Linked DNA regions of Rhinolophus ferrumequinum. The protein of the gene in region 4 interacts with the protein of the main gene of each other region in a biochemical or structural test. Links are inferred from orthologs where the notes say so. Each region holds a gene or a part of one and is shown on either strand. Other genes may lie near its edges.

Region 1 (8,130 bases), on a different chromosome or scaffold from region 4:
TCTCTTTCCAGGCTGGGTTTTGGAGAAACATTCTGGTATTACAGATGAGGAAATGAAGGCTGAGGGAGGGCAGGGACTTCCTGGGGCTTCATGGTGAGTCAGGAGCAAAACCCAGGACTGTAGTTGGGCTAAACCTCCTCCCATGAGAATTCCTCTTTTCTGTTTTATTTTTTTTTAATTTACAAACAAAACCAGAACAAAACGAATGGAAACTGAAGGAAAACACATGCACGTACAAAGGAAACTTCCATGTGTGGGCCAGCATGGTTGCAGGCGTTTTATATAAACATTCCCATTTAATTCTCACCACAACCCTGCAAAAAATCATTATTTACCTTTTCTGGACAAGGGAACTCAGTTGAAGAGAGGTTTCAGGACTCGGTCAAGAAGCCAAAGTCAGGTAGAGGAGAAACTGGACAACTAAGTAAGGTGCGTCTGACCCCAAATCTGCATGATATCACCCCTCCACCCTAACCTCTTTTACCCATCGGTCCTAGTTTCACAGAGTTGTAATCACAGTGCAGCAACCAGTGGGAAGCCCCTTCGCTGATATATCCAAGGATGGGTAGTTACTTGCTCACATAGCTCCTCAGTCCTTTACTGATCACGGACCTATTATTTCATTTAACCTGCACCACCCCCCAGAAGGAAGACCGGACAGAATTTGTAATGTAAAGTCACACTCAGCAAGTACCAGGCAAAGATAGGACTAGAACCTTGGTTTCCTGCCTCCTGATCTCAAAACCATGTGACTGCCAGCTCCTACTAGAGCCCTGGGACTGGCTGTCCCTTCATCCCCACCCCAAGTTGTAATATTCCCTGGCAGGGGCACCAGATGACCAGATAATTCCCGACCCCAGTGCCTGCCTCTCAAGAATTAACCTCTGGCCTTAGATCCCTGCTACAGCCAGGTAGAATCTGGGTCCTATGACTCTCCTGGCCCTGCATGTCCTCAATTCACTGCTGTGACCTTTTGTCTACGTGTTGAGATTGGGAGCTCTTGGAGTGCATGCAGGGCCTGGCGCTTACCCCAGAGACCTGCTTATGACTGAACCCAGAACAAGGGGATTGTTGAGTGATGCTGGATGGTATCTGGTTCTGCCACAAATTCACTCTGTGTCCTAGGGAGAGCCCCTGCCCTCTTCTGGTGGTCACAGATCTCAAAGCCGCATTTCAGCGGGCTGTGATTCTCTTGTCTGAAGAGCAGACGCGTGGAGGAGACATACCCCCATGCCAGGCTGGCCGTGTTAAGGGGATTAGCTCAGGTAGGAGCAAAGGCCCCTATGTGTGTGCCTGTGGGATGGAGGTGGAGAGGGAAGGTGACTAGGGTAGAAGGAAGGTGAATAGGAGTGGGGTCCACAGACTACATTGTCTGCAGCTAGGCTCTGCGGGGTGCAGGCAGGAAATAACTGGCATCTGTAAGTGGGGGATCATGACAGAGCAGGAAAGGAAGCAGAGGGTCTGTGAACCCCAGCTGAAGGGGGGTGGTGCAGTATGGGCAGATGGGTTGGTGGCCACCTTCTCAGCAGAGAACCTTGGGTGGAGTGCCCGCCTGTCCTGGGTACCCACTCTTCACTGGGCTGGGACGCTCTTCATGTTCTAGCCATGTCCAAGGGCTGCTGCACACACTGCCTCCCCGGGGGTTTTCCTGAGAGTCCTGGAATATTGGAATGGCTCATCTTCCAAAGCCCATTCATATACCTGCTCCAGGCCAGCTTTCCATCCTGGCTCTTAAGCTTAGAATCATTTTCCTTCTGGGAGACTGCACAGCAGCACACACACTAGAGGGAGAGCACAGCTGCAGAGCTAGAGGGAGCCAGGGGCCAGGCCTGCTCTCCTGTCCTAGCTGTGTTACCTTGGGCAGGTCATTTTACCTTTGAACCTCAGGCTGTGAAATCTGTGAAATAGGGTCATATTTATCACGAGGGGTTGTTGTCAGGGTTAGAAACAATATAAATGACATGTCTTGTTCAATGCCTGAAACATGGAAAAGGTAACATAAATGGTAGTGGTTATTCCTTCCCAGGGTGAGAATCCTCCTTGATGGAAGGAAGCCAACACCTGCTTGCACAGCCCCAGGGATGGGGGAGTTTGTCCCCTCTAGGGGTGGCTCTGCCTAGAAAACCTCCTTCCCTAGATGCAGCTGAGACCTGTCCCAGTTCTGTCTCTGGAGCCACACACAGTACATGCTACTCTGTGGCCATGGGACAGCTCTGTGGCATCTCCCCCAAAGAATCTTAAGAAATCTTACGGGTAACATGGTGCTTGCCTGCTTTGCAGGAGAAAGGCTCTGGAAGTCTCCAGCCTGATTCAAAGGTGTATATGTGTATTTTAATTCAGGCTTGCATAAATCACAGAAACCTTTTCCCCCTCCCTGTGACTTTGGAACATATGGATTGTAACCTCCTGAGACTGCTTTTTTCTTGGGTGAACTTTCCTAATTCCTTTGAACATTCCTCATAGAGGCAAATGGGAGAACAGGGTTCTGGTCCCAAATCCATTACTTCAGGGCAAGTCACTTCTATTCAATGAGCCTCTAGTTCCCCATTTGTAAAATGAAGAAAATACTATTTCATAGGTTTACAATTAAGATTAGCTTGGAAAAGTAACATGAAAGTTTGGAGTTTGGAAGTTCCGGTGGTAAATATTAAGTGCGTACTTTTAAAAATCATTTTTGAAAAAGCAGTTAGTAGGCATGCCCATCTGGTGTTGCCCCTTAGTTTTATAAAACCTCCAAAGGAAATTATTCCAGAAAGTCAATGCCATTCCTGGTTTCACAATAACGGCAAATAAGGTGGGGGATGCCCTCTTAAATTCATAAAGTGAAGCCTCAGGGTTTGACTTAATCTGCGAAGAGTCTATTAAGGTCCAGGCCCATTCACTTACTTTATTCTGCAGTTGGAACCAAGGCCCAGAGAAAGCCCAGCAGATCAGTGGTAGAGGCTGAATCTAAGTCGCCCAACATCCAGCACACTTATAGCCCCAGTGCTCACTGCCAGAGGAGGACGGTGAAGGGAAGATAGTCTCTGGGCCAGACTAGATACACGCAGGACGAGGATTCAGCAAATCTTTCTCAGGCACCTTCTATGTGTGGGCCACTACCTCTGGGCAAGCACTCTTACCGCTCCCCCACTGGCCCAGGGTCATTCATGGAATGGTTGGTTGGTCAGCCTTGGTGAAGGCCTAGGCTGACACTGTTTTGCTCATCCCTCTATCCCTGGTGTTTGGTACAAAGACTTGGCAAAAAGCAGGACCTTAGCAAATATTTTTGAATGAATGATGAATCAGTGAGCATTTATTGAGCACTATGTACCAGGTCTTGTGGTAGGAGAAAATCTATTTAATACAAGCCTGCAAGGCTGATATTATATCCCCATTTTACAAGTGAGGAGATAAAGGCTGAAAGAGTTGGACTGACTCGCTCAAGGCCTCGCAATGAATTGGTGGTGGAGCTGAGACTGGAGCCCAGCCTGGCTACCTCTGGCCTGGGCTCTAGGTATTGACCCACAACTCTCAGGGACCTGGGCCTCCATCCACCTGTTCTCTTGCCCCAGGCCTTCCCTGATAGTAACTGAGGACCCTGCAGAAGGGCTGACTTTTGAATGGCCTCAAGGAGACCAGAAATAGCAAGCTTGGTCTCCTAGTTTACACATAGCTCTAGATTAAATCTGATTCAAGCATAGCTCTGATTCTATCACCTTCATGTACAATAATCTAGGCTAACTCAGTGTAAACAACCTGGGTTCAAGTTCCATCTTCCCAACTTCTGGCCATGTGGCCTTGAGCAATTTACTTGGGTCTCTCCAGGCCTCACTCACTTTCCTGTTTTGCCTGACTACACTTCTGAGAACAGGTGTCAGAGATGCCAACTTCTGATAAAACTATGGGGCAATCTAGTTCACCCTCTACACAGCCCTGTGGCTCCAGAAGAGGGATTTTCATTCTTCTAAGGACTCCAAGAGAGGCAGATACCCCTCCTGCCAGATGGTCTGCAGAGCAGGAAGGTACTGGGGTCGTGCGGTGGTGGGTGTGGGGGCTGCCTGGATGAGCATCTTCATTGGCAGATGAGGCAGCCCAAGCTCACTTAGCCAATTAGAGGCAGGCAGAGTGGACCGGCATCCAGAGCTCCTGATTCCCAGACAAGGGCTTCCTCTGCCCCTGCTGCCTCCTCTACTTTTCCTAATGGATCGTCTGCACCTGTTTCTTTATAACCCAAAGAACCCTTCGTGATCCAGAGATTCTAGTCCTACTGTGTGACCTTCAGAAAGTCTCCAGTCCTCTATGGGCACTATTCACCCCATCCATAAAATGGGGGCCCTGCCTTTAACGACCTAACTGTTCCCTTCCTGCAGAGTCCATGCTCTTTGACTTGAATGCCCTGTAGCAGAGAGCTGTTCTTTTTCTTTAAAGGGGAACTAGACACTCCCCCCGCCCCCCAACAACAGTCAGGCACCTGTGATCTGCTGTGATAAGACTTGCTAATGCTGGCTCCCTTGGTGCCTATCTGCCCGGCCCATTTGCTCGGGAGAGAGGGGTGTTGGAGGACCGAGATGAAGCGAAAACCGGAACTCTCCTACTGTCACAGGCATACTGACCCCTTATCATTGTAAAAACTTCACTCTGAACGTCCACGACCCCCCAGCCCGCACAAACACTGCAGCCGCAAAAGCCAGCAGGAGGTAGGGGCTGCTTGTGCGCGTGCGTCGGCGCAGAGCCCTCTCCCGCCCACGTGCGCGCCCCCGATCGGAGGCGCGCGCCTCGGCAGGCTGGCGGGAAAGCGCGCGGGAAGCCCCCGGCTGGCTCCCAGTGTGGGGGAGGGAGGACAGGAGGCGTTTGGAACGTGCCACTCTAGGGAAGGACGGGGGGATTTTCGTGCTCTGCTAATGTTCCTGCCCCTCCTATTCGCCGACCGATCCGTTAATTCCCCCCGTCCCCGCCACGATAGGGAGCCCCACGCCGCGGCCACGGGACCTGGAACCCGGCTCTGGCCTAAGCTGTCCCCTCCGCCGCCGGAGTGGGGCGCTGCGCCTCGCGGTGGGGCCGGAAATTCCCGCGGCCTGAGTGGAGGAGCTGAAGCTGAGAGCGCGGCACCGCCTTCACCTCCCCGGGCTGGGTGGGGGCGTCAGGCCCAGCGAGGGCCGGGCTGCCTGAGTGGGGGCGGGGGACCGCGTCTGTGAGGAGCCCCGGAGCCGACGGCTGGCGGGGAGCCGGACGACGCGGCTGCTCCTCGAGAGCCGACCGGCGAGCTGGGAGACTGAGCCCCAGCTCTCGGGCCCCCGCCCCCTCGCGGTCTCCGCCTCCTTCCCTCACACACCCCCCAGGCCGCCAGAGCCCCAGGCTTTCCCGGCGCTCCTCCTCCTCCTCTTCACACTCGCCCTCCGACCCGGGTCCTCCTGCCGCCTGCCGGCCTTGTTCCCTCCCGGGCTAGTCCTCGTTCTCAGGCTCTCCTTTCACACACACACGCGCCGGCTGGGCCGTCCCCTCCCGTCGGCCCTCCTTCTCCTCGTCTTAGCTAACGCCGCCGTCGGTGGAGGATTGATGTCCCTTCAGCATCATGCAGCCGCCGCCGAGGAAGGTGAGGGTGCAGCAGGGGGGCTTCGGGGCTCGGGGAGGATGCGTCCAAGGAACGCGGCTGGGGCGACCGCTGCGCCCCCTCCCCCTTTCCTCAACCGGCCGTGACCGTCGTCGCCTCTGGCTTGTCACTGAGATTCCGCCGGTTCTAGGCGGGGGGGCACGGGTGTGAGGTGACTTTCCGACGGAGGGGTGGCTGAGGTTCGTCCCTTCCAGTACGCGAGAGACCCCCGACATTTCAGAGGAGTTTCGGGTGTGCATTTGTGTGTGTGCGCGCGCATGGCAGTGCTGCTCGCTGCAAAGTGCATTCTCGGGGCTGCACCAAGGGGAGGCGGGGGAGCCCCTGCAGCTTTGCAGAGCCTTGTGCTTGTGTGATTGTTTAGTCTGCACCAGGTTTGAGCCCTCCAGCTGCCTGTCGCCACCCTCGCCCATTTTGCAAATTTGCAGGGAATTTGTTTTTAGCCCAGCCTTAAGGTTTGGCCTGCTTTTCCCACGGGGCGGGCCGAAAAGAAGTTGGAATAGTCATCTCCCCCCCCCATCCCAGGGGAAAACAAGAAATTAAGCATTGACCAGTCAGTCCTGCCTTTCTCTGTCCCCCACCCTATTCCTGCCCCGTCCCTCCGGGTAGGGGGCCAGGAGGCGGTGATGCTGTCCTCAGGAGAGTGAAAACCGGGCAGTGCGTGGCGGGTGCACCGCGATCTGGATTTGGGGTGGGAGTGACGGGTGCTCCGGGCTTGTCAGCAGCTTTACTGCTGCACTTTCTGAGAACTGTTTCACAGCCCTCTTCACGTTTCCCAGGGGCTGAGTCTGTGTCCTTGTCTTTTTAATCCTGCAGATAGTTACTGAGTGTCTACTCTGGGCGCTGGGTGGAGGAGGCTGTTCTATCCTCCCCTCGTGGGCAAACGTTTGTTGAATATCTAACTCACTCGTGTCTGCCTCCTCCTCTTTCTTTCTTAATCCGGGTTTCTTCAGTTAAGTAAGTCTTTTTTCTTTAAAAAACGTACCCCGACCCCTCCGGGTAGCCTCACTCCGGCGGTGGGGATTCCAGGCCCACTGTAACCTGGAATCCTGGGGTCCCGGCCTGGCGGGCGAGGCACTGGCCAGCTTGCATTTGCTATTCTGGCTCTTTAAAGTGGAGCCGCGGCGGGGACCGGCTTGCTGGGGTGGCTTAGAAGCACTGCATATGCTGGAAGGTCACTTTTGCTTTCTCCTTTGTGAGAAAGATTGTGATTTGATGCGCTGTCAGCGAGTGGAGGGCATCATCCAGAGACAGTGTGCTTTCTTGCAGCCATTATGGAATAATTTATGTAGTCCGTTCATGCATATAATTTCATGATTGTGTAAATTTCAGTCATTAGATATTAGGCATTCTTATGCTCCCTTCTCCGGGCTACACTCTGCTCAGTACTTCTGGTGGTTAATATCTTTGAATCCTTTTTGGAAGAAACAGAAGACAGACTCTTTTAAAACTCTAGGAAGACCTAGATATGTACTGAGCTTGTGCATGAAATTGAATGACTAGCAGTTTATTTTGCACCTCTTTAATCTGTAATTTTTACACTTGTGTACTTAGATTTAGCCTCTGTTTCAGGTTATTTGGCTAATTTTTTTTCATACTGAGTATCTTCAGTAAACAAAATTAGGTGGCTAATAATGGATTTCTAGTTTCCAGGGGAGAGGTGCGCAAGAGGTGTATATTCTGACAAGTATTAAGTATTTTCCTTAAGCAGTTTTTTTTGTTTGTTTTTTGTTAAAGTTGCAGTAAGGCCTTCATAAATATATGGTGTATTTTAGGTGAAAGTTACACAAGAACTGAAAAACATTCAAGTTGAGCAGATGACAAAACTTCAAGCCAAACATCAAGCAGAATGTGATTTGCTTGAAGATATGAGGTAAGGTTATAGTAAATAGTTTGAGAACTTCTGTATCTCTGTTTCAAAGAAGCTTTGAGTTACCAAGCCCCAGGAACTGATGATGGAATTTCCTTTTGGATTTCCTGCTTTAAGGCTGTTAGAGCTTTGACTCAGCTAGAAATTATAACTGGAACTAACACAATACAAACTTTTTTTCCTTTAGTGGGGGAACCTATAACTTACACATACTATTATGAAAAAACAAGGGTCTTAAAAGTTTATCTGTCAAATTATAATCATTGAAGTTGAAATTCTTATTTAAATAATCTTTTTACTGAATTATAACATTTATTGACCTTATCGATTTCACACTGATTTTTAAACTAACTCCTCTGGTTAATGGTTAATATCTAGGGGTGAGCCGGTCAACCTGAGATGATTATATACTAGCGTTATTTGTTGGAGCATGACAGACACAACTTTATCTTTGAACATTAAATTTAGTGAGAAATGTGTTTATCATTAAAATTACCTCTGTTCATAATCAAGAAAACTTTGAATTTAGACATTATGCCAATTGTGAAAATTGGTATCTTTCTTTATAGAGGGAAGCATGACTCATTTTACTGAAAGAAATACCACCATTTTATTTAACAATTCTACAATACAACCCGACAGTTTAACAAACATATTTTGGTAAAGGATG
Region 2 (7,886 bases), on a different chromosome or scaffold from region 4:
TTGAAATGTCACGATGATTGGTAAGACAGCAGTTTATGAGCTACAAATATATGGTTCTATATGAGATTTCAAGAAGCTTTCACATACATTACCTCATTTAATTTGAGCACAACCCTGGGAGGGAGCGAGTGGCGAGTGCATTCTACAGAGGAAGCCACTGCTGAAGGTCACAGGGAAAAGTGACAAGGCCAGGACACAAACCTTGATCTTCTGCCTCCCAGGTCTGAACACTTTCCAACACATCCACATTTTGAAAAATATTATTATTGGCTCTAGCACTGTTCAATGTACTTGTTAGACATACCAGGAACAGGAGGAGGAGGCAAAGATGGAGGAAGTTTCCAAATAGTCCACACTTGTCTATGATTATACCACTGTCCTCTGTGCTTGTTCTTATCATAATGGATGGAGTTGCTTCTCCCTGTGTAAACTGTGACTGCAAAACCATTATATGACCTTAAGTACCAGCCACGGGTACAGGCTGTTCTTTTGTTACTTAGTTCTGGGTGACTGTTTCAGCAGTTGTATTGCTTGATATGAAAAGTTGTCTATCTTTACTCAGAAGTAGCCATTTGAGCTCTGATTAACAAATCCCACCACTGATTATCAGCCTTGAGGCAATCTTGCTTACTTAACATTTATTGATTTGATACATTTATTGGGGCTTTATTTGAAAATTTCCCCATTTCCACTGGCCCACCTTCCAGCAGTTGTCTAGTTAGATTATCCCTTTTACTTTTACCTCATTTTCAAGGTAAGTCAACTCACGAGGGGAAATGTCTTCACCAAGCTCATGGCTTACAACCATAGGTGGGTTGGATACCTATTAACTACTGCTGTGTGGATCTTTGATTTAATCTAAAACTTGAAACCAGGTTCAAGTCATGAGCTATTCTCCAAGGGCAAAATGCCTGCATATATAGTATCATAAAGCTTAAAAAAAAGGTCATTTACCTTGAATATTTATGAAGATTAAGTAGTGCTTTTTATGGCTGTGGACCTGCATGGCCCCTTTGGAAAACCTCTTATGTCCCATTTTATTCATTACCAAGTAGGTATAAATTTATCTCATGAGCCTACCTTGTAATTGTAAAGTATTTTTAAATGCTTATGTGAAAATAGTGACTAGGCTATAGGGACATAAATTATTACTGTAAATTCTAAGCATGATGTAAGATTATAACTCTAAAACCACTCAATAATTTCTCACATTAGTAAATATAAGAATATTTCAATAAATTAGACATTACATATTTATGAATCAAAGCTCCATGTTAATTAATATTAAGCAAATGTTACATCATGGGAGATATAAAAATGTACAGGATAATCCTGGCTCTCAGTGATCTTACAATCCATATAAGAAAAAGGGAGAGAAACCTATAAAAATTAAATAAAAATATGACAGATGTGAAAAGGCAAAATATTGTTGACACATGAAATGCAATTATCAGAGTAATCACTGTAGGTAGAGGAAGGAGAAATCACTTCCAGAAGCAGGTGGGCAGAAATAACTGTAAAATAAAAAAGATAGATCTTGAAGACTGAATCCACTGAGACAGAGATGGAGGAAGAAGGGATTCTTGATGGAAGCAACCCAGGGAGAGTACAAATGCGAGAGAGAGAGAGAGAGAGAGAGAGAGAGAGAGAGAGAGAGAGAGAGAGAGATTAGATCTAAAAGAGAGAAAAAAAATTCAGAAGTTCAGGTTAGAGTGACATGGAGAGTTCTAGTCCAAGGTAGTACTGGGAAGGCTATAAGGCTATTCGGAACTGGACGGTGGAAATCTCTGAATGCCAAGCTGAGGAGTTAAGGTTTTTCAACAGAAAAACATCTTGGTCAAAGAAGTGTTTTAGAAATACTAATTTGGTATGGCATTCCAAATTAAATGGAGCAGGGAGGATTAGAGATCAAAGAGATCAAAGAGAATGCATAGCAAGTTCAGGTGTGAAATGATGGTAGTGGGATGGGAAAGGTAGAGGTGCGACAGGGAATATTGAGGAAGAAGGCCACTAGCTCTCAGGTGTGCTGGTTAGCATTGATTGTTGGAGCTTTCTGTCATTTTCTAAAATCCTGTCAAATCCACGGGTTCCTGAGAAGTGATTCATTTGAACAGTTGTGAGTGGGAATGGAGAAATTATTCATTTTGAACTTGCAACATGTAATACCTGTATAAATGGATATATCGGACCTTTTCTTCTTGATCTTGTATCCTTATCTAAGTACAAAAAGTGTTAGCTCAAAAATGTCCAAAGAAGAAGAAGAAGGAGAAGGAGAAGGAGAAGGAGAAGGACAAGGAGAAGGACAAGGAGAAGGAAAGAAGGAAGAAGAAAAAGAGTGCCACAAAATGTAGGAATTAAAGGAGATCTGAGAACATTTCATTTTCAAAGAAAGCTAACTCTAGTTGAACCTGGACTATTCCAAACTTTTCCATCAATACCACTGAAGGAAAGTCCCTGGGATCCCCTGCAGCCCTCTAGTGGAACTCCTATTAAAATAACTTTCTGGTTTTGAAGATTTATGATTTAATGAATTTTTTTATCCAGAAATTCAGACAAGCTTGAATGAGCAGGGGGGTAAGTTTCAGGAGAGTTTTTCAACAATTCTCCATACATGGTGTGTTTATACATACTATGTATACAAATACATGTATGGATACATAATGTATACAAATACGTACATATTTATAGACACAGTAAAGGTATTGGCATCTGGGCTTCTGCACTGAACCTCTACAACCAAGTTCTGGTCTTATTGCTGACAGAATGCAATCCCTTCATCTTTCAGGGGCACTTGAGCTTGGCACACTATTCCAATAACACCACTTGACAGAAAGATGGCTCTGATAGAAAGCCTCCTCTCCACATTCCCTACACTTCACCCCCGAGCCCAGCAGCACTCAGAACCCCTTTCCTGGGAAGTGTCAAATTCAACTCTTTCCAATCCCTTGGCTATTTTGAGACTACCTCTTGCGGGTGGGTGTGGGGTTCAGGGGGTACAGAAAGAAGCCAGAGGGGGAGACAGGAGTGCAGTAACTTGGGTAACTAAGACTCTCCAGAGATTATACTTAACTCAGGGTATAGTTCCTGTTCCTCCCTCTTTCTAGACCCTCTTCTTTCCTTGCTCCCCCTTCCTCAACCTCTCCAGTTTGGCAGAAATAGGCTGACAAGTCCTAGGGCAGGGATGAATGAGCAAATAAATCACCATCCCCCCAACACTCTGATTACAACTCTGGGCCTAAAACAAATTTATATGTTGAGATTCACATAAGAGAAGGTGGTTAAAACTGCTTGACTTTATAAACTGAATAAGCATTGCTTTTAGCTCTAGACATGGGTTGGTGTGGAAGTCAATCTCTCTGCAAGGTAAGAACGAGTTTGGTCCAAAAGCTAGAAAGATGCGTGAGCATTACATAACATTTTCATGCACCCGTATATGGGTAATTGGAAGCTGTCTACTTCTGAAGGATTCAATTAAAGGCTTTTTATTTTCAAGGTTGAGCTGAGGACCTTAATTTGAGAGGGGGCTTGCAGTCCTGCTGCATTGTGTGCTCCTGGTGGCTATCCTGTCTGTTTGTCCCCACACACAATCCACAGACAGCTAGGCACACAACTCACTAATTTCAAACTGATTCATTTGCCAACTCAGAAACCACTGATATAATTTTAACTGCTATCTGATTTTAATCCTCTTGAGTATTTACATATTTTCTTCTCTCATCCCTCCAAAATTAATCCTAGAGTTCTGAGACTCTGGGAACTTGGACAAAGGAGAAAACCAAGCCCACCAACAAATCTGAAATCTCAGTTCATTACATCAACCATAACTAACAGTACTTTTCTGTTTGTAGTGACCCAGCTCGAATTATAAAATCATGTCAGTAATAAAACACAAAATGCAGGTGTTATTACTGAATGGGAAAAGTCTGAAATGTAATTAAATGTGTTCTTTCTTCACCGCAGTGTCATTTTCTCTTATGTCTAAACATTTGTGTTTCCTTAAGCCTCTCTCTCTTTATAGCATCCACACTCATTGTTGCATTATACTCACATTATGCATTAGTTGAGACTGGGGAGTGTCCAACTGGTCCTCAGCACTAGCTGTCAGATGCACAGACCTTAGCTTCCTTTCTGCATCTACTGCACTGGTACAACAGAAGCTCCTTGCAAGAATAGCGCCCAGAGAGCGTTCCTGAGGGATGCGTCGTTTGCTCTTCTAGCAAGGCGCTCTGCTGCAAAGTTTCCTCTAACCACTAACACCCGCTTCCGATCCCCTGAGCTGGCAGGACGCAGTCTGGCTGGGTCCCCTCCTTGACCAGGAAAGGGTTTTACACACACTCTGCTAGGCTGCCCGATCCGAGAAACAATCTCCTCCAAACCCATCGGACAGGCTGTCAAAGGTGTCCTGGGGCTGGGAGAACACCGAGCTTCCCTCCCCGCAAAAGGGAGAACTCGCTCCGCTCCGCAGGAAAACTGGGCACTGGACGTAGAGGGGATGCCAGGGGACGGGGGCGCAGGAGGGAGCCGAACGCAGGAGGCAGAAGGGGCGAAGAAGGGAGCGCAGCGCAGGAGAGAGTGGGGGCCTTAGGAGAGGGGCAGGGACGCGGGTGGGAGCTGGCCGCAGCACGGAGCTTGGGGGAACAGGGCGCAGGAACCAGCAGGAGCGGGAAGGGGCGCGCGCACAGGCACCGGCGGGCGCCGGGCAGGAGCTCACTGCTCGAATCGTCCCGGACTCCCCAGAGCCGCTGAACTGCGGGTGGGAAGGGGTGCGGGGCGTTGGGGCGGGGGGGTGGGGGGGAACCAACTAGGGGCGTGCCTTTGTCGGGATTGGCTGCAGGAGCCTGACGCGAAGTCCGAGGGGTTGGCTTGCGGGAGTAGGAGCGGGGTGGGGTGGATGCTGGGTGCCTGAGCTGCGGGCTCAGCGCGCTCAGAAACATGCTGTGGTCTCGGCGGCTGTTCCAGCAGCGGCAGCGGCTCCAGCAGCAGCGGCGGCGGCGGCGGCGGCGACAGAGCTTGGCTCCCGCAGGGAAGGCGCCCGGCGCCCATGCCTCCGGCTCTGCGCAGCGGCTGCCCTGACCTGGCCGCGACCTTCCTCCGCGCGCCCGGACGCCCCAACCTCTGGGGTGTTCCCCAAAGACGGCCCAACCCCGCCACACACCCCGCCCCCGGCCTCCGCAGCTCGGCATGGGCGCGGGGGCGCTCGTCCTGGGCGCCTCCGAGCCCTGCAACCTGTCATCCGCCGCGCCGCTCCCCGACGGCGCGGCCACCGCAGCGAGACTACTGGTGCCCGCGTCGCCGCCCGCGTCGCTGCTGACCCCGGCCAGCGAGGGACCTGTGCAGCTGTCGCAGCAGTGGACCGCCGGCATGGGCCTGCTGATGGCGCTCATCGTTCTGCTCATTGTGGCGGGCAACGTGCTGGTGATCGTGGCCATCGCCAAGACTCCGCGGCTGCAGACGCTCACCAACCTCTTCATCATGTCCCTGGCCAGCGCCGACCTGGTCATGGGGCTGCTGGTTGTGCCGTTCGGGGCCACCATCGTGGTGTGGGGCCGCTGGGAGTACGGCTCCTTCTTCTGCGAGCTCTGGACCTCGGTGGACGTGCTGTGTGTGACGGCCAGCATCGAGACCCTGTGTGTCATTGCCCTGGACCGCTACCTCGCCATCACTTCGCCCTTCCGCTACCAGAGCTTGTTGACCCGCACGCGGGCGCGGGCCCTCGTGTGCACCGTGTGGGCCATCTCGGCCCTGGTGTCCTTCCTGCCCATCCTCATGCACTGGTGGCGGGCTGAGGGCGAGGAGGCCCGTCGCTGCTACAACGACCCCAAGTGCTGCGATTTCGTCACTAACCGGGCCTACGCCATCGCCTCGTCTGTCGTCTCCTTCTACGTGCCCCTGTGCATCATGGCTTTCGTGTACCTGCGGGTGTTCCGAGAGGCCCAGAAGCAGGTGAAGAAGATCGACAGCTGCGAGCGCCGCTTCCTCAGCGGCCCGGCACGGCCGGCCTCGCCCGCGCCCTCGCCGGGGCCCCCGTGCCCCGCCGCCACCCCGCTGGCCAACGGGCGCACCAGCAAGCGGCGACCCTCGCGCCTCGTGGCCCTGCGAGAGCAGAAGGCGCTCAAGACCCTGGGCATCATCATGGGCGTGTTCACGCTCTGCTGGCTGCCCTTCTTCCTGGCCAACGTGGTGAAAGCCTTCCACCGCGACCTGGTGCCCGACCACCTCTTCGTCTTCTTCAACTGGCTGGGCTATGCCAACTCGGCCTTCAACCCCATCATTTACTGCCGCAGCCCCGACTTCCGCAAGGCCTTCCAGCGCCTGCTCTGCTGTGGGCGCCGGGCCGCCCGCGGGAGCCACGCGGCCACCGGCGACCGGCCGCGCGCCTCCGGCTGCCTGGCGGTGGCCGGGCCGCCGCTGTCGCCCGGGGCCGCCTCGGACGACGACGACGAAGACGACGTCGGGGCCACGCCGCCCGCGCGTCTGCTGGAGCCCTGGGCCGGCTGCAACGGCGGGGCGGCGGCGGACAGCGACTCGAGCCTGGACGAACCGAGCCGCCCCGGCTGCGCCTCGGAATCCAAGGTGTAGGACCGGGCACCCCTCCACACCTCCCAGCCGGGACGCGGGCTCTGCGCGCCTAGAGGAAGAAAGCCTAGGCGTCCCTGAATGGCTTCCCAGGGGAAAGAGATATGTGTTTACTCAAGATCGAAAGCAGGTGAACTCGGAGCCCACAAACCTCATCTGAATCATCCAAGACAAACAGAAAAGCCACGGATCGTTGCACAGAAAGGAAAGTTTGGGGAGGGGTGAGAGAGTGGCTTGCTGATTTTTCTTGTGTTCTTTTTCCTGTTTGAGGTTCGATCTTCTTTTGTGTGTGCGTATGATGCATCTTTAGGTTTTGTTTTGTTTTTGTTTTTGTTTTTGTTTTTGTTTTTCCCCAGGTGTTTTTGACACGTTCTACGAGGACTGGGTAGGGCAAGGGAGAAGCATGACGGGGTAAAAGTCTATCGACTTGACTTCCCGGGAACAGGAGCGGTCAACCGGAGCGAGAGGGGGAATGACAATTTGTCGGGACATGTTTCCTTTTGCTTTCCAGAGAAATTTCATTTTAACTCCTGAGTTATGATTTCTCCTGTTCCTAAAGCAAAGGGAAAGGGTGTGTGCGAAATCCACGTTAGAAGAAATTGTAAGCTATTCTTGGAACAAGCCTCACCTTGCTTTCCTTTTGTAGGATAAGCCTGCTGTCCCCGTGCGCCTCGGTCGTCAGGCTGAGGGGTTTCTACCTCACACTGTGCACATTGCACAGCAAAATAGAAAGACTTGTTTATATTAAACAGCTATTTATGTATCAATATGAGTTGGAAGGACCAGGCACTGAGCCTCTGTGACATGTGACTGTCCATTGAAGACAGAACAGAAAAAGAAAACAAAAGAGGAAACAGTTCAGATTACTAAACGTGGGTAAAAACAAAACACAAAACAAAACAAAAAAAGGAGTGGTTAAAAATGCCATTTTTGCACAGTGTTAGGAATTGTAAAGTCCACAGAAGATGTTACTTGCACAAGAAGAAATTAAATATTTTTAAACGTGGGCGGGGGAGATCGTAAAAACTAAAATAAAATTGAAACTCTACTTCTGTTGTCTATTATGTTATTTAGCTAATGACTTATTGGAAAAATACCTTTTTATACTCTTTTATCATGGTACTGTAATTGTATCCATATTATAAATATAATTATCTTAAGGATTTTTTAATTATTTTTTTATGTCCAAGTGCCCACGTGAATCTGCTGGTAAAATTTAGCACCTGTGTGTAAATTCTATTTTCCTCTGTGTGTTTTACCAAGTATTTATACTCTGGTGCAACTAACTACTGTGTGAGGAACTGGTCCAC
Region 3 (7,635 bases), on a different chromosome or scaffold from region 4:
TCTCCTCTAGGACCCACAAATTAAATCCTTCTGAGTAAATAACAGGTTGTCTTATGCATGTGGGAATTATTTCCAATTTTTGATCCTACCTTATTGCAATCTAATGTGATATCTGCAGGAGAGCTGCATTTCCAAAATATCTTCCAAAATGGCCTTGGTGTGATGTGAAACCTAGATATTTGATATTCTGGAAAAGACATCAGAGAATAACTTCTCTTGAACCTGATGGAAAGGACCTTATTGGTACTTTTAACAACTGGCACAGTATTAAGATTCCAATATTTTAATCTTTGGATTCATGTTTCCCAACTAAAAGACATACATACTTCCTGTCAACTACTGGAAGTTCATTCCTTTGAAAGACCTCAAACTGAAGATTTTTAGAAATTCTCCGGAAGCTGTTGATTTACAGATGTGGACAGCTTCTGCCCAAAATAGCAGAGCAAACTACTGACTGCAGAAGCAGACAGCTTTCCCACACGACAGAACAAAATTAATTTTCTGATTCTTTAGCACGCTTTTTCTTTCCCTTCACTACTCATCTTGTCCATCACTGTACTTTCGCTCCCTCTATTAACTAAAATGATCTCCCTTCTCTTTATCCTGTGACCCATTATGGTCTTCTGCCACTTAAGAAAAAAAAATATCTGTTGTGGTTTTCTCAGACCATAGCTACTGTTCTGAAGTCAACTGATTGCTGACAAAATTTAATAACTTAAAAAAAAGAAGAAAAACCACTTCAAAAGGTAAATTTTCTTCTACATATCCCTTCTGATATTTAAGTTCCCCTTGTATAATTAATCCCAAACTTCAGTCTGTTAACAATTTTACAGTGAACCCCATCAGCAAAATACTTCTGCTGAGGTCTTCACCAGAAGACCTAAGCCGTTAGGAGTGGGAACAAAGGTGGGGCCTATTTTAGATTAAAAATAGTTTCTTTGTTTTCTTCAGAGATATTCCAGCCTGCTTTGCAGGACATGTTTGACTCCCCCAAGGAATTTATCCACCTCCAGTGGCCCCCCCACTCCTGCAACCCCTACAGAGGCTCACATAAAGAGAAGGCCTGTTGTGATCAATGATTCTTAAATTCCCAATACCAACACAGTCCTTGCCTCACTAGGATACTTCTTATTTATTTGGACACCAGGTTTACACCCACCCGCCACACGCTAACTTAGCCTGTGTATTCAGGATAATTGTTAGAGAATTTCAAAGGTTTGAATTATTACTCCCTCCAGCGAATCCTGTTTCCCTAAAAAGAATACACAGAAACCTTAGAAAAAGGTAAGCACAGGCTAACTGAGAGAACACTTGGGAAGCATAACTAACTCCCATGCATGCAGACTGTCATGCTGGAGACCCTGCTCGCTCCGCCATTTGTCGTGCGGGGTGGCCTGCAGGGTCTCTGGTCCTGCTCCCCACATAAGAACGCAGGGTGTGGCTAGGACAAAAAGGAACACCCACGGAGCCATAGTTAGGGCAGTCATACCACTATAGTCTCACTGGAGGCTGGATTCACACAATCCGCAACCTGCTGTCCGATTCTCTGCCTGCCAATCAACCGATTCACTAACCAACGCAGCCGTGGAAGTTCTATCAGTGGCCAACTGGCTAACTGGTTACAGCTGACAGCCATCCACCACCCGAGCCAGCACCTTTCCACATGAGGCTGAGAGCCTGGAAACGGCTCTCTGGGACTCTGTCCCCACACAGACTGTGCAAGCAACTACTACCAGAGCTGAGAGAGCAATAAGAAAGGACTATGCAAAACTTGTCTCCGACCCTGGCAAAAGTCACAAAGTATACAACTTCTCTGGAAGCTGACAATATTCTCTCCCTGATCAAACTCTAGCCAGGCTCCTGTGAGCCCTCTTCCCAACTAGGTTTCCACCTGGGCCTAATAAAACACTAACATCGTTCTTAATGGCTCAAGTCCACATCTCTAGGATGACCCTAACCTCCCCTTTTTAACATAGCCTGAGATAACTCAAGTCTGTCAAAAGAATTTACTCTTTGTTTGAACCAACACCTGAAGAAAGGGCCCCTGTCTACCAGCCTCTGTAAGAAGGTAGGAGGCTAACCCTCTGTAAGTGCCAGTTAGCAAACCCAGATGCATTTCACATAGACCAAGCTTCCCTTCCAACTTTTTGGAATTTTCTACTGAGCACCTTTTCATCCCCTCTTTCTCCCTTGAAAATGTCCTGTTACCTCCATAAAAATTGAAGTTGAGTTCAGTTCATGTTGGATTCTTTTCTCTATTGCAATAGTATATTATTGATTAAAATCTGTCCTTCTCACTTTAACTAGTGTCTGGCTTTATCTATGATAAAGCCCAGGTTTAAATGTAAATTTATTAGGCAGAGTTGTCATGCATAATGACATAATTCTTAATTTCTTCTTAGCTAGCCAAAGAGAAATATATGCTGAAGTAAGCACTTCTTATAGAACCTGTATAAATACTACAGAACAGCTCGAGACTGGGGTAGGGGTGGGGGAAACTTCCTCGATGTCTAGAAAAAAACAGGTAAATTCTGGGGGCCATCTTTTCATTATTTGGGTGTGATAGTCTAGGTCCCTGTTTTTCAGAGTCTATTATGAGAACTAATAACCATTTTTGTTCCTGGAAATTCCTGCTTCCTTGAATCTCATCCCCAAATTACTTAACACAAGCACAAATCCTCTAATAATTCCTCATATCTTCGTTCTGAGTTTCCCAAGGTGTGCATTCTCCCTTGGTACAACAAATCAATACACCCAACTTTGTTCCAATACAGGCATGTTTCTAATGGATGTGGACTAGAAGACACTGCGAGAATCCGCACAATAAAGAATAAAAGGGGTATGGTGAAACATTAGTTACATTAACCTACCCAAAGGGATGGTTCATAAATATATTTCTGATGCAGTATGGATGTTTTTCAATTCTCCTTCAGAGACCTATGTGAAGATGTAACTCAGAAAACATGGTTGGCTTGTAAATGATGTCAAAAAAAAAGAAAAGCTTTCTTTCTTTAATTCAGCATTTCCCGAAGTATCTTCCGTAGCATATGAGTTCCATACGATGTTCTCTGTAAAAGAAAAGACTTCCATGTTCAAATCAGCCTGAGAAACACAGCAAGTTCTACTATCCCTCCTTTTGGAGATTTATAATGCATGTTAAAGGCTCCATTAGGGGTCCTGCAGGGAAAAAGAAAGGCTGATTTATACATAGGATGCCTCTCTTTTTTGACCCTAAAAACTTTTTTTGCACATTAACACATTCTATTATCCCACAGGATTAATGTTCTACACAACTTTACTTGGGAAATGCTGATGTTATTATATAATCCATTGGGAAGATGATTTTGATAGAGGAGAAAGAGAACCCCTACCTAATGGGTCAGATCAACAAGCAAGTGTTCAAGTGTTTGGAGTCACAGAGTTCTAAGCACTTACTTTTGGGTGAATTTGCATTTTTGAGCACCCATTACTTCATTGGTGAAATGGAGATTGTATTAATTTCCTAGGCCTGCCTTAACAGAGTACTACAATTTGAGTGGCTTAAAACAACAGAAATTTATTCTCTCACCGTTCTGGAGGCTAGAAGTCTGAAATCAAGGTGTTAGCAGGGGCATGCTTCCTTCAAAGGCCCTAGGGAGGGAAGAATTTTCTTCTTGCCTCTTCTAATTTCTGGTGGTTACCAGCAATCTTGGTATTCCTTGGCTTGTGGAGGCATCACCCTAATCTTGACTCTATCACATGGTGTTTTCATTCTGTGTCTTCACATTGTCTTCCCAATATGTATTCGGTGTCACAATGTCTTCTCTTCTTAAAAGAACACCAGTTATTCAGCTTAGGGCTCATCTTAATCCAGTGTGACCTCCTCTTAACTTATTACATCTGCCAAGATGCTATTTCCAAATAAGGTCACATTTACCTTATTAGTTACCTGGGGTTAGGACTTGTATGTATCTTTTTGGGGATCATAATTCAACCCACAACAGGGACATACAACATCTATGCACTGAGTTGTAAGGATTAAATGAGAGAGAGTGTGTGTGTGTGTGTTTCACAAGAGTACGTGGTACTAGGTAAGTACCACTAGCTGCTTCACTCTCATGAATGAATGTAAGGATGCTCTAGCTTCAACATCCATCATTCCACTGTCCATGTGGATGAGTTGATGACAATTCTCTCATTCATATGAAGTGTACAAAGTAGATTCCTCTTTGTGTTTGTTGGAAAGCATACTCTGCAGAAGCATACTCTGCAGAAGCATACTCTCAGGTTATTCTGACGTGTTTATGATGAAAATCTCTCAAGAGAACTCCACTCGTTGGTTCTGAGTCTATCCCTACCAGGGAACCTTCTGATAACTCATCTTCTTAATTTCTGGAAGAGTGGACTGTGGATTGTGAACTGGAAGATTCCAACAAAGGGAAAGTAGAATCCCCCATTATAAAAGTACAAATCAGAATTCTGGGTTGAAAATTCATCCCGTGTGAGTTTAGTTTGTGTAAGTTGATTTCTTGAGGTCTATGAGCTGACTGACAAGATGAAATACCTCCTGTGCAGAACTGAGGGCCACATCCTATTTCTGAGATGGCCCCAGGCCTTGGTGCTAACTATAAGGATCTCTCTTTTTGATCTGGCTCAACAGTAAATCTGAGGTTTCTAGCTTGGGTTATAGGAAGCATGGTGAGGCCATTTGCTAGAATGAAGAGCACAGAACTCAGGAGACAGGTCAAGGCTGCAGATACAGTTCAGGGAGATGGTCACGAAGAGATTGGAAGTCTGTATGCCTGACTTGGGAAAGGGAAGATAGCAAAATAAGAGGCTTGGAGATAATGTTTTAACCAGTTTGATAGAGAGCTAAAGTTTCTATTCGTTGGCCAAGCGAGGACAGAAGGATCAAACCTCAAATCAGGAAGTACGGTGTTGAAGTGCTGGACGTCATACAGACAGCATGCACAAACCAGGACCATGAAGCAAACATGGAGTTGGATCAGATGTCACAGTTATGGGTCAGCTCTGGATGGGAAGAACACTGGAATCAGGGTTAACACTCAGAGCCTAGGGGATAGGAGACAAGGCAAGGAAACTAAGACTGGTATGTGACCAGCCAGAGGAATTTTCATGGAAGTGTTCCATTACAAACTGGTTTTTTGAAAAGGACAGAGACCTGTCCCTATGGCCATATAGAAACTCTTTAGTTTGAAAGATCCTGACTTTGGAGCCAGGATTCTGATAGCATCATAAGGAAAGCCTATATCTAAGAGGCCAGGGAAGGGTCTGAGTTAGTACAAATAGACTCGAAAGCAATCAAGTCCTTAAACTTTTTGACCGTGAGGAGCACCAATCCTCCCATCTCAAGACCAACAGGGCTTGTGAATTACAATGAGAAGGGCAGCCTAGGATGTGGCAAGCCTTCAGGGACACTGCCAGCTACAGATGCTGGGGCAAAGTCCCTTACCATAGGCAGAGCATGGACTCTAGCAGACAAGAAACCAGCAAAGAGAGATGGTAACAGGTGGTCCACCAGGGAGTTGAGGAATGTGAGGGGAAACAAAAATAGACCCTAGCAACAGGGACTCCTTGAGCAACTGGGGAGGAAGGCAGACCACATGGGGAGGTCAGTCTGCAGGAAGGAAGACCCTTTGCCGCCAAGCCACGGTGCAAGAAAAGGACTTTGGACCTGAGAGGAGGCCTGGCCAGTTCAGGCAAGCTCTGCATCCTAGAGGGCCCAAGTGCTGGAAAAATCCTTGGACACAGAGACTCAGACCCGGGGTGCCAAGACAGGGGTCCATTTCCCCCGGTGAGGCAAGGACTGAAACTCAGGAATAAGAGATGTGTCCAATTTTAGAATCAAGGCACAAGATCAAGGTCAAATCAACCCCAAAGGTAACACTACGTCCCAGAGTTACTTCAGTTCCTCTACCTGAGACTGGGATTGGTTCTGGGCCCCAGAAGGGGCTGCAGGGCAGTGGGAAGGGTTGATGACTATCAGACAGGTTGCAAGGAGAGGATAACTACACAGGCTGGGGCTTTGATTTCAAACAACACCTCCAAGACCATCTTAATCCCTGGAAATCTAAAGAAAGAAAATATACAAACATCCTCCCTAAAAGCCTCATTTAGCTAATAGCCACAGACCAAAAGCAGGACCAGCTCAGATACAAAATTTCATTTAGCTCAATATTTTCTCTTGAGAACCTTTAAAACATTTGGATTGTTCCTTCCTGCTAATATAAAATACATTTGACTACACCACATTGTAATCTTTCACTAGACTGTAAAAAAAAAAAAGAAAGAAAGAAAGAAAGAAAGAAAGAAAGAAAGAAAGAAAGAAAGAAAGAAAGAAAGAAAGAAAGAAAAGAAAAAGAAAAAAGAAAAAAACTTCCCTGCTAGATGTGGCTATAAAAACCGGCCAGACCAATTAAATATGTGAAGGAAAGGTGAGAAATATATGAACAGGTAAATTCAAGGGAAATTAGGAAATAAATTGACAGCATAATTTCCACTGCTTTAGAGGGAGAGTGTGCATGGCTTTTTGTACCGAAAGGGGGCTTGGAACAAATTAAGGCTTCATCTCCTACAGCTTTACTGGTAATAAAGTAACAAAGAAATAGTGAGAAGCAGCAGCAGATGGAGATTCCATATTTCATTTAGGAAGAACACCAAAGAGAGGTAATAGCTCACATTGTTGCTTACGCGATTTTCATGGTCATAGCAAAGCTTCAACTGTCCCACACCTCACAGAAGTTATTTTCCTTTATACTTAGGAAAATATACATTTGGATGCATGGACGGGGTGATGGTTAGCCCTCGTCACCGGGGCCCCCTCCCCCCCTCCCATCAGCACTGACAGGGAATGTGAGCCCACAGATGTGCTCACCTCCAGTTCTCAGATCTGGGCCTGGGACCTGTGCTCAGGACCTGAAGAGTGAGGCACTCAGACACACTGACACAGACATACCCAAGAGCAGCGAACGACGTGCTGCTAGACAACCAGCTGCCGCGACGCTGTGGTAAACTGCTGAGGAACAGATAACCTTCTGGAGAATCAAGGTTGGTACAGTCTGCACCATCTTTTTAAGGCCTTAGTGCACAGCAGTCCTGCGGGCGACAGCAGCAGCACCAAACCTGCCAGCGCCTCGTCAGAAGGAGAACTGGTAGACCTGCCATGCTGCAGCTTCCCTGACTGCTATTCAGTGACGTTCTGAGTCTTCTGTTTGGCCACTGTTGCCAGGCCTTCTAACCTCCACACTGAAAATCCTTCTGATAAATTGACATCAGTGCCCTTGTCTGTCTGATCTCATCAGCCACCCTCACTACCCCTCACTTTAAGCCCCCCAGCTTTGGCCAAAACTGCCTAAGGGCTCTGGGAAAGCATATTTCCTTTCTCAGCTCACCTCCATCTCCACCTCAAGCCACAGATGCTTGTTCATTCAACTTGGAGCAACAGCCAACCTGTGCTGCGTTTACTCTGTGGTAAGCACTCGGCAAAGCTCCTTTGTGTATTGTGTAAGGATTGACTCCATGAATCCTTAAATAGTCTTAGGTACTCTGAATTGGTCATTTCATAGATGAGAAAAGCCAAAGTACAGAGACATGGAATACTTCCTGTGCCTAAGTTTGCCTGTCAACTAGTGGTCG
Region 4 (7,829 bases):
AGTAAATTTTTAAAGATATACAATAAGGAAGAAGAGAGTGAACACCTTCAATAACAAAATCCTGTATTATTTAAGCATCGACCACGTTCAGATTATTATATTTTCATAGATTTGGTGGGAGATGGAATAAAAGATATAAATGTCTGTAATCAAGAAAATGCAAATGTCCTGTTCTTAAGGAAATTAACAATATTAACAGATGTATTTTCAGTAAAATTATGCAGGATAATGTGCTAATTTGGGATATTTAGTGTTTTATACAGCTGAATCATTAGGAGAAATTTTAGGGGAGAAATTTTAGGAGAGAAATTTTAGGAGAGATTTTCATGATAAATTCTTGGGTTTCTGGAACTATCATCAAATTTCAAATCTTCCAGTTACCCATCTCATTTTTTCCCCTAGACGTGAACCAGAACATTAGCCAGGATTAAACTCTCCTTCTTGGAGTTCCTTCTCTGGGGTATAAAAATAGTTCACATGTGATCTCTTAAAAGGTCACCAGAATTAACATTTTATTTATTCTTGCTTAGCTGATAGTACTAAAAGGAGAACTACTACGGTCAGAGAAAATCACCCAAATGCCTCCCTGTAAGGAAAAGAATAAGTTATCAAGTGAATCATAAAAATGCCACCAGAAAGAGACGACGAGGAAAATGGCCCTCACTGCCATTTACCTGCTACCTGAACTAATGGCTTCAACCTCCTTTGTTGCTCTAAATCATCAGTTACCTTACTGAATACGTGCAAAGCATTTATACTTGTTTTGATATCTATAACATATACCTCTTGATGGTATTTTTCAGAAATGAAAACCAAGTTATATGTTCGTCTTTGTCCCACAACTGACCAACTTATTTCGCATCCTCACGTTTTCAGAAAAATAATGTAAAATGCCACTTACACTGCAATTATAAATTTCTTTAATCACAACTGGAAAACTTTAGGAAGAAATCTATTTGGGAAAAAGAGAAGACATGCAGATTTTATATTCGTGAGTTTTTTTCCCCCCTCTCCCTTAGTGGAACTACGTATATGAAAATAAGATCTTACTTTGTGTAGAGTTTATTATGTTACAGTTTAGGTCTCATTTGAATCTACTGTGTTTATTAAGAGTTCATTGTTGAAATGTTAACACAATAACAGTATAAAGATGTTTGGCATGTCACCTGTACCACAGCCCACAGATCTCCAAACACTTTAGAAATGTTTACAAATTAATCCTCTTTACATTTCAGTAAATTATCCAATCTTCAGAGCCCACAGATGGCGAACTGGAGATTGGATTCCAGAATGGAACACTGTATTCCTTCAGATTAAAGGGAAGACATGGGAGGGTGGCTTAACTAGTGAGCCCACACTGTGTGGCAGATGCAGGAGCCAAAAACAATGCTGTTACCCAAGCACACTGAATGGAAGTTGGCCACATCCTACACTCTCTTAGTGCAGTGGTGCTGAGCATGGGTTTTTAGGTTTGGGTCATGCCTCTGGGTTCACATCCTAGCTTTACCACTTCTAAGCTGTTGAGCAAGTTTCTGTACTTCCCTAACTTCACTTTCCTCGATTGTAAAATCAAGGTAATTTATGTAAAATCAGGTCACACCTACTTCACAAGATTGTGATGATTAGATAAAATAATGCACAAAGCTATCCAGGCACACATGGTAAACCTCAAAGTGAGGTATTTTATAGCATTATTTTTCCCTTTTGGAATGTATTATCAAAGTCATATTCTACGTGTAAGAAGCCAGAACACGAGGATCCCGTTTTACATCTCTTCAAGAAAAATCTACTTCAAAATGAGATAATTATAAGCTCTTTCAAGAAATAAATACCTTGGCTCGCTCCAGCCACCAAATCTAAAAAGGCTTTGCAACAAAGTTCACATATTCTGCAGTTTAACGTCACACTTCATCCATGTCTTCATTTAACAAATGTGTATGGTGCACACGCCACAAAAGGCATGGGTTTAGGTGCTGAGGATTCAAAGGTTGGATAGGATAGATAATTTCTGCCTTGAAGTTGCTTCCAGTCTGGGATACAGGAACTGGACCAGGTGAAATACAGTAGACAAAAAATGTCAGAGGAGGAGAGTTTGGGGACATCATAAACTTAGTAACTGGAAATTGGTGGTCTTAGCTGCTTTGGAGGTTCAAAATACTTATGTTCTTGGAATACAATGTCTCTCTATACGTCTCTCCATCCTGTGCCCTCAGATATCCCTTCTTTTCTTGGGGCTATTCCACATCTAAAATCTGAAGTGTGCTAAATTCCAAGTACTTTTCCCTTCCCAGCTGTGGGACACCTGGAATCCCGGAGAGGGGAGATGGTGCTGCTGCAGTGGGATGAATCACAAAATACTTGGTTTTGCCCATTCTTTGGACTTCTCCAGGTGGGAGCAAGAGTTGAATGGGGAGGTAGGAAGAGGCCCCTGATTCTAGGCAGTTGGGGAAATTCTTGGCAAGCAATCAGACTACTAGAATATGGAGTGGGCAAGTGGGGTAACACACAAGGTAAAGCTTACTAGTGATTTGTAGGGGACTCAGTGACTCCATTTCTAACATGGTATGCAAAAATGTGCACTTGTGTGGGGAGATCCATTCAACAAATAGTTGTGTATTAACTAGGTACCAGGCACTGTTCTAGGAACTGGGACTATATCAGTAAACCTAAGTGCCAAAGTTCCCTACCCCCCTGGAACTTATACTCTATAGGAAGATATGGACTACAGGTTTATTCTCCAAAAGGGTCTGTGATGCTCAGGAATCGAGATGCTAGACCTGTGGTCCTCAATGTTATGTACCAGCACCACTTCAGGGGAACCCTAAAAGTCCTGGGGGCTGGACTGATGGGCTGGATCATTGTTTGCGTTTGGGAAGGAATGTTTTGAAGCTCCCACTCATTTTGATTCAGTCAAGTGTGAGATAAACTGATTGCTTCTGAGAAAAGAGAATGGAGATGAAGTTTCCCTCACCAAGAAGAGTCAAGGAAACTTGGCTACTTTCTTCTTTCACGAATACTACAAAGCAAGGGGATTTTCAGTTCTGGATATCCCTAGAGAGAAGCATCAATATTCTTCTCTTATTTTTATTAGCTTAGATAGCACTCTCCAGAGTGCTTTAAAAATATTTAAATGTATGCCTATATATTTTAAGATTAGAAAGGAGAGCAGGAATTATCATCATCATCTAACTTGAAACCCCAAACGATTTCCTAATTCTCTTTCCAAATAAAATACTACTACTACTACTAGTGGTAGTAGTATAAGTTTTTATTATATGTCATTTTACAAGTACTCACTTTACAAGCTGGGCATTTTACAAGTGTTCACCTATGTAATACTCCCAAGTACATTGCGAGGTATTGCTATACTCAGGGGAGAAACTAAGGCTCTGAGGGTCACGGAGCTTATTCAAGTTAAACCCAGAGGCCAGATCTTAACCCTGGCTGCAGCTGGCATCCATCTTTCCTGAGTCCCTTCCACTCATCTTCCTTATTTAGCACTTGGAATCTCTCCTGTGACCAAAGAAGAACAAACAAGTTATAAATCACTAAGGAAAAAAAAAATTGCTTGGGAGACTCTAGCGCCCAGGCTGATTTCGGGCGTATTTGGAGGGCAGCCTCCTTCTCGGTGTAGGGTCTTCTTTCTGTCGGCATCTCCCGAGCTCCTTCCTGAACCTAGCCCGGACAAACGCTCGGCTACCCCCGGTCCCCGGAGGGCGCCGGAGGCAGCACCGACTCTGGGGCTGCGGATTCCGAGAGGTGGCTGCCGCGCCCGCGCCCACACCCTCGCCCTCGCCCTCGCGGGCGCCAGGACGCGGGTGCAGATCCCAGACATGGGGGTGATCCTTATCTCCTGGCCCCGGGGCAGGTCCGCAGGCTTCCCGGCTCAGCCAGGAACTTGAGCCCGGGATAGATGACTGACTCCAGGAGTCTTTGCTGGAAGAGCAGTTAAAAAGCCCTTTTATGTTGAAGCTCCGAAACTGTTGGCTTCTTTCCCTCTCTTACAGTTTTGTGTCCTAAAACGTTGGCTCCACAGTTTAAGGGTACGGGTAAGTGTGTGTGGGAGCGTGTGACGCTCACAGGGATCCCAGGTGGGGCATCCAGGAGGCACCCACCGCCCCCCTCCCCAGGGTCCCAGAGACACTGGCCAGCTCCACTCCAGGACCCGGCTCACTGCAGGCGCGGGGCAGACATCAGTCTCCGGACCCGCACAGGGGTATCAGAGGGAAATGCGGCGGAGTGGGGGTGGGGGCGGTAGACAAGCTGGGCTGAGTGACCGACAGCGTGGCCAGCCACTGGCCAAGGGCGATTAGGCGGCTTAGGCCGGCGTTGAGTGCGTGCGTGTGTGCGTGAGTGTGAGCGCGAGGGTGAGTGTGTGAGCCTCCCCAGCCCCTACCTGTTTAAAATGGTTTTAAAATGCCAAACCCAGATTGCCCATGTTTCAAAAGTTGCAAACAGTTGGAGTAAAACCCATGTGCTTCCCCCTAGCTCCAAAGGGATTTGCTGCGCCCAAGGCACTGAAAGAAAAGCAGGAATAAGAAGCGTGATTGAAAGGGAGTAACTTGTCTTCTCCATAAATGTCGGTTTTAGGACCCAACGGGAAGCACATTGGAATCTCTCCCTTTGGGAAGGAGGGACGGGGCGGGCCGGCCGGCTGGAGACCAAGGGGCGCATGCGCGTGCGTTTTCTCTCGCCGGTCGCTGCGCTCCGCGGCGCGGAATAGAATGAACTGTAACAAAACAAGCCGAGCCTTTGTATCTGCTTAAAGGGGCCGCAGGCACTTCCCTCCTGTTACCCCCACCCCCGCTCCGCTACCGCGTCTCCAGGGCTCCCAGCAACTGGCTGGAAGGGCTTCCCTCACCCTCAGGAACAGCCCGCCAGCGGAGAGGCGAGCCAGGCGGGAGCTAAAGAGGAGATTCCGCATTTCTAAGAGGCAAGAAAGAAAGGAAGGAAGGAAAAAAAACACAACAAACCACCAAAACCCAAGCGGCGCAGAGTGGACTCTGGTCCGGGAGAGCACGGTCGGGCGCTGGAACGTGGACCCAGAAGCACCGGAATGCAAACAAAGCTCGTGGGCGCCAGTGCAGGGCTCGCGGGGAAGCCCAGAAAGTTTGTTTTATGATGGCTTGAGTGCGCGAGTGTGTGCAGGGGAGTGAGGCTACCAAGTTTCTCTCTCCCGTGGCGTTATTTTTGGGAAGATGTCTCTCCCATGAACCAGCGGGGACTGGGGGCTTGTGCTGAGGGGGGCACCTGTCTCATTTTATTTATTTTTTTTGGGGGTAGGAGTGGTGTAACTCGTCATGTCGAAAGTGATCCAGAAGAAGAACCACTGGACTAGCAAGGTTCACGAATGCACCGTGAAGCGGGGACCCCAGGGCGAGCTGGAGGTGACGGTGCTGGGGGGCGCGGAGAACGGGGAGTTTCCTTATGTCGGAGCCGTGGCAACGGCCGAGGCGACGGGGCTTCCCGGCGGCGGCGAGGGCCCTAGGCTGGGCGAGGGGGAGCTGCTTCTGGAGGTGCAGGGGATCCGGGTGTCGGGCTTGCCCCGCTATGACGTGCTGGGAGTCATCGACAGCTGCAAGGAGGCCGTCACCTTCAAAGCCGTCAGACAAGGTAAGACGGGACGCGCCTCCGGAGGCGCCCAGAAAAGGGGAGCTGCCTGCGGGTTGCCCCCACCCCCATCTCAATTTCCCGCTTTTCTCCCGCGAGCGCAGCTTAGAGGTGAAATTGAGGCCGTGCGCCCTGTCGTGGTGAAATACACAAAGTTGTGGAGAGGTTGCGGGTTGTTTGCCCACCTGCGTTGGGAGGAGGGAATTGGATTTGCGCCGGGAAGCGGGGAGACTTTTCCCAGGCCTGATTTGCCAACCTGTTATCTCAGTCACCAAATGCAGCGCAGCTTCGCCTGCGCCTGGAGGAGAGTTGGGAGGACTGAGGCTGAGGCCAAGTGGAGGCTCTCCTGGCTCCTTGGGGGAGTGATGCTGCAGACCTAGTGCTGTGTTGTTTTGCCACTGGTCTGTTTCCAGACCTGGACAATGGGTATGAGTGAGGAGAGGGTTTATGGTTTTTGGACCTCCTCCATCAGAAAATCGCCTTTATCCCGTAACCCTCCAGGTGGGTTCGGACGCAACGGTTCCTAAGCCGGCCGCCTGAAGAGCCTGCATTCGCCCCACTGAGGGATGATGCGTGTCTCCACCGTGTGGCTCAGCCCCAGGCTTGGGAGGCGGGGAGGGTGGTGGGGGGCGGAGGGAAAGGAAGTGTATTTCTCTTTTAGCCTGAATCAAGCCCAAGTTTATGCTGCCACCATCATCACTACCACCAGCATCGCCATATCATTATTGGTGATGATGATAGCTACTATTCATTGTTAGCTTACTACGTACATGCCAGACTGTGTAAAATGCGTCCCTTGCACTACCTTGTTCTGATTCACAATTCTGAGAATGAGTTGTTTTTATAAAGCCCGTATTACATATAAGGAAACTGGGTCTGACATTGGTTAAGTTACTTGGCCAAGGTCACATGATACTAAACTGAGGGATCGAGCCCTTGCTGCAGAGCCTTAAGCACTGAAGAGGGAGAGGTGGGGGCGCTGACCCTTGTGGGATGAGGGAGTGGAAGCAAATGACTCGCCAAAGCCTGTAGAGGAGTGATGGCCTCTCCTTTGGCTGCTGGTGGTGGGGAGTCCCTTTCATCGCACGTGTAGGCAAGGAAGGGGGTGTCCCTGTATCAGTCCAACAGAGAAGGACTCCATTCCCTTAAAGGGAGGCCTTATACTACCAAGTGCCATGACGCAGTTTCTCTCCCAAGAAGGCATTAGAAGAGGTGGCAAAGTCCAGTGTGGTGAAAAGTTCCCATGTGCCTCCTGGTCTGGAAGGGCAACAGCAGCTGGAGGAATGGGTCAAAGGAAAAAAGGGCTGGGCAGGGCTAGGCCGGTCCAGTCGTGGAAACAAGCCTGTTAGGGGACAGGGAGGAGGGAACCAGAGGGGAATATACAGGCCTTTTAGCTTTGGGAGCTGAGGGGCAGATGCATAGGTATGGAAAGCTCCTTCCATTTATGTCCTCATTGTCCACTTGGACACCTCCTCCAAGAAGCCCTCCAAGCATCCAGCTAGTGATCTAACTCTGAGTTAGATCACTCCCCTCATTTCCATACCAGGTGGTAAGCTAGTTAAGGGGATAGACTGTGCTTGTTCATTGCATATCTCCCCTGGCTTTGCTTAAGGCTTAATACCTGGCCTCGCTGTGAGAATGTGTCCTCATCTGTAAACTGGCTTTCTTGAGGGTGTTACATAAGCTGATAAGTGTAAAGTATGCAGAACAGTGCCTGGCACATAGTAGTAAGTGCTCAATAAAGAGTAGCTATTGTTATATTTAAATTGAATTAGAGAATTAGTTATTTCTAAGTTTAGCTTTTAGTGCCAGGAAACTGGATTATGAATTTAATGCTGGTACCTGGATTATCAGGACTTGGTGGAACTGTAGAGAATATACTGCATTTGATGGGAGCATCTTAAGGTCTCAGTTCAGGGGCATTTGGAGAAAGGGCTGGAGGAAGGACAGCCAGGGGTATCATCTGGTGAGGGATCTGCTGGTGTTTGATAGGTCCTGTGTGGGGGCTTGTTTTGAGTGTGCAACACAAGGTGCTGTGTGGGGCTGAACCTCTTCCTCCTACCAGTTTTCAAAGATCTGGGAGGCACTGTCCCAGGGCTGCCTCATAGTGGAATTTAGGAGGGGATGGTCAGATAATCAAGTGTGTTTGGAATCAGACACCTCTGGGTTGGAAGGAAAATTGTAGTGTCTCCAAGTGTTATGTTATTTCTCTTCACCCA

The links.
Region 1: the proteins of MAGI1 (region 4) and FCHSD2 form a complex in vitro, tested with the Homo sapiens proteins (2 studies listed by BioGRID and IntAct, with this or other methods). The link is inferred for Rhinolophus ferrumequinum from reciprocal best matches to the Homo sapiens genes MAGI1 and FCHSD2.
Region 2: the proteins of MAGI1 (region 4) and ADRB1 interact in a test that uses a peptide from one of them, tested with the Homo sapiens proteins (2 studies listed by IntAct). The link is inferred for Rhinolophus ferrumequinum from reciprocal best matches to the Homo sapiens genes MAGI1 and ADRB1.
Region 3: the proteins of MAGI1 (region 4) and CYSLTR2 interact in a test that uses a peptide from one of them, tested with the Homo sapiens proteins (2 studies listed by IntAct, with this or other methods). The link is inferred for Rhinolophus ferrumequinum from reciprocal best matches to the Homo sapiens genes MAGI1 and CYSLTR2.

The regions. Positions count from the first base shown.
Region 1 is NC_046294.1:48,435,272-48,443,401, reverse strand, and holds the start of FCHSD2 (F-BAR and double SH3 domains protein 2), read left to right. Parts: upstream 1-5,059; 5' UTR 5,060-5,554; coding exon 5,555-5,575; intron 5,576-7,365; coding exon 7,366-7,463; intron 7,464-8,130. UniProt on the Homo sapiens protein: Adapter protein that plays a role in endocytosis via clathrin-coated pits. Contributes to the internalization of cell surface receptors, such as integrin ITGB1 and transferrin receptor.
Region 2 is NC_046299.1:13,973,285-13,981,170, reverse strand, and holds the start of ADRB1 (beta-1 adrenergic receptor), read left to right. Parts: upstream 1-4,880; 5' UTR 4,881-5,181; coding exon 5,182-6,579; 3' UTR 6,580-7,886. UniProt on the Homo sapiens protein: Beta-adrenergic receptors mediate the catecholamine-induced activation of adenylate cyclase through the action of G proteins. This receptor binds epinephrine and norepinephrine with approximately equal affinity.
Region 3 is NC_046287.1:88,775,862-88,783,496, forward strand, and holds the start of CYSLTR2 (cysteinyl leukotriene receptor 2), read right to left. Parts: upstream 3,049-7,635; 5' UTR 2,888-3,048; coding exon 2,871-2,887; intron 1-2,870. UniProt on the Homo sapiens protein: Receptor for cysteinyl leukotrienes. The response is mediated via a G-protein that activates a phosphatidylinositol-calcium second messenger system.
Region 4 is NC_046300.1:59,913,283-59,921,111, reverse strand, and holds the start of MAGI1 (membrane-associated guanylate kinase, WW and PDZ domain-containing protein 1), read left to right. Parts: upstream 1-4,688; 5' UTR 4,689-5,300; coding exon 5,301-5,613; intron 5,614-7,829. UniProt on the Homo sapiens protein: Plays a role in coupling actin fibers to cell junctions in endothelial cells, via its interaction with AMOTL2 and CDH5. May regulate acid-induced ASIC3 currents by modulating its expression at the cell surface.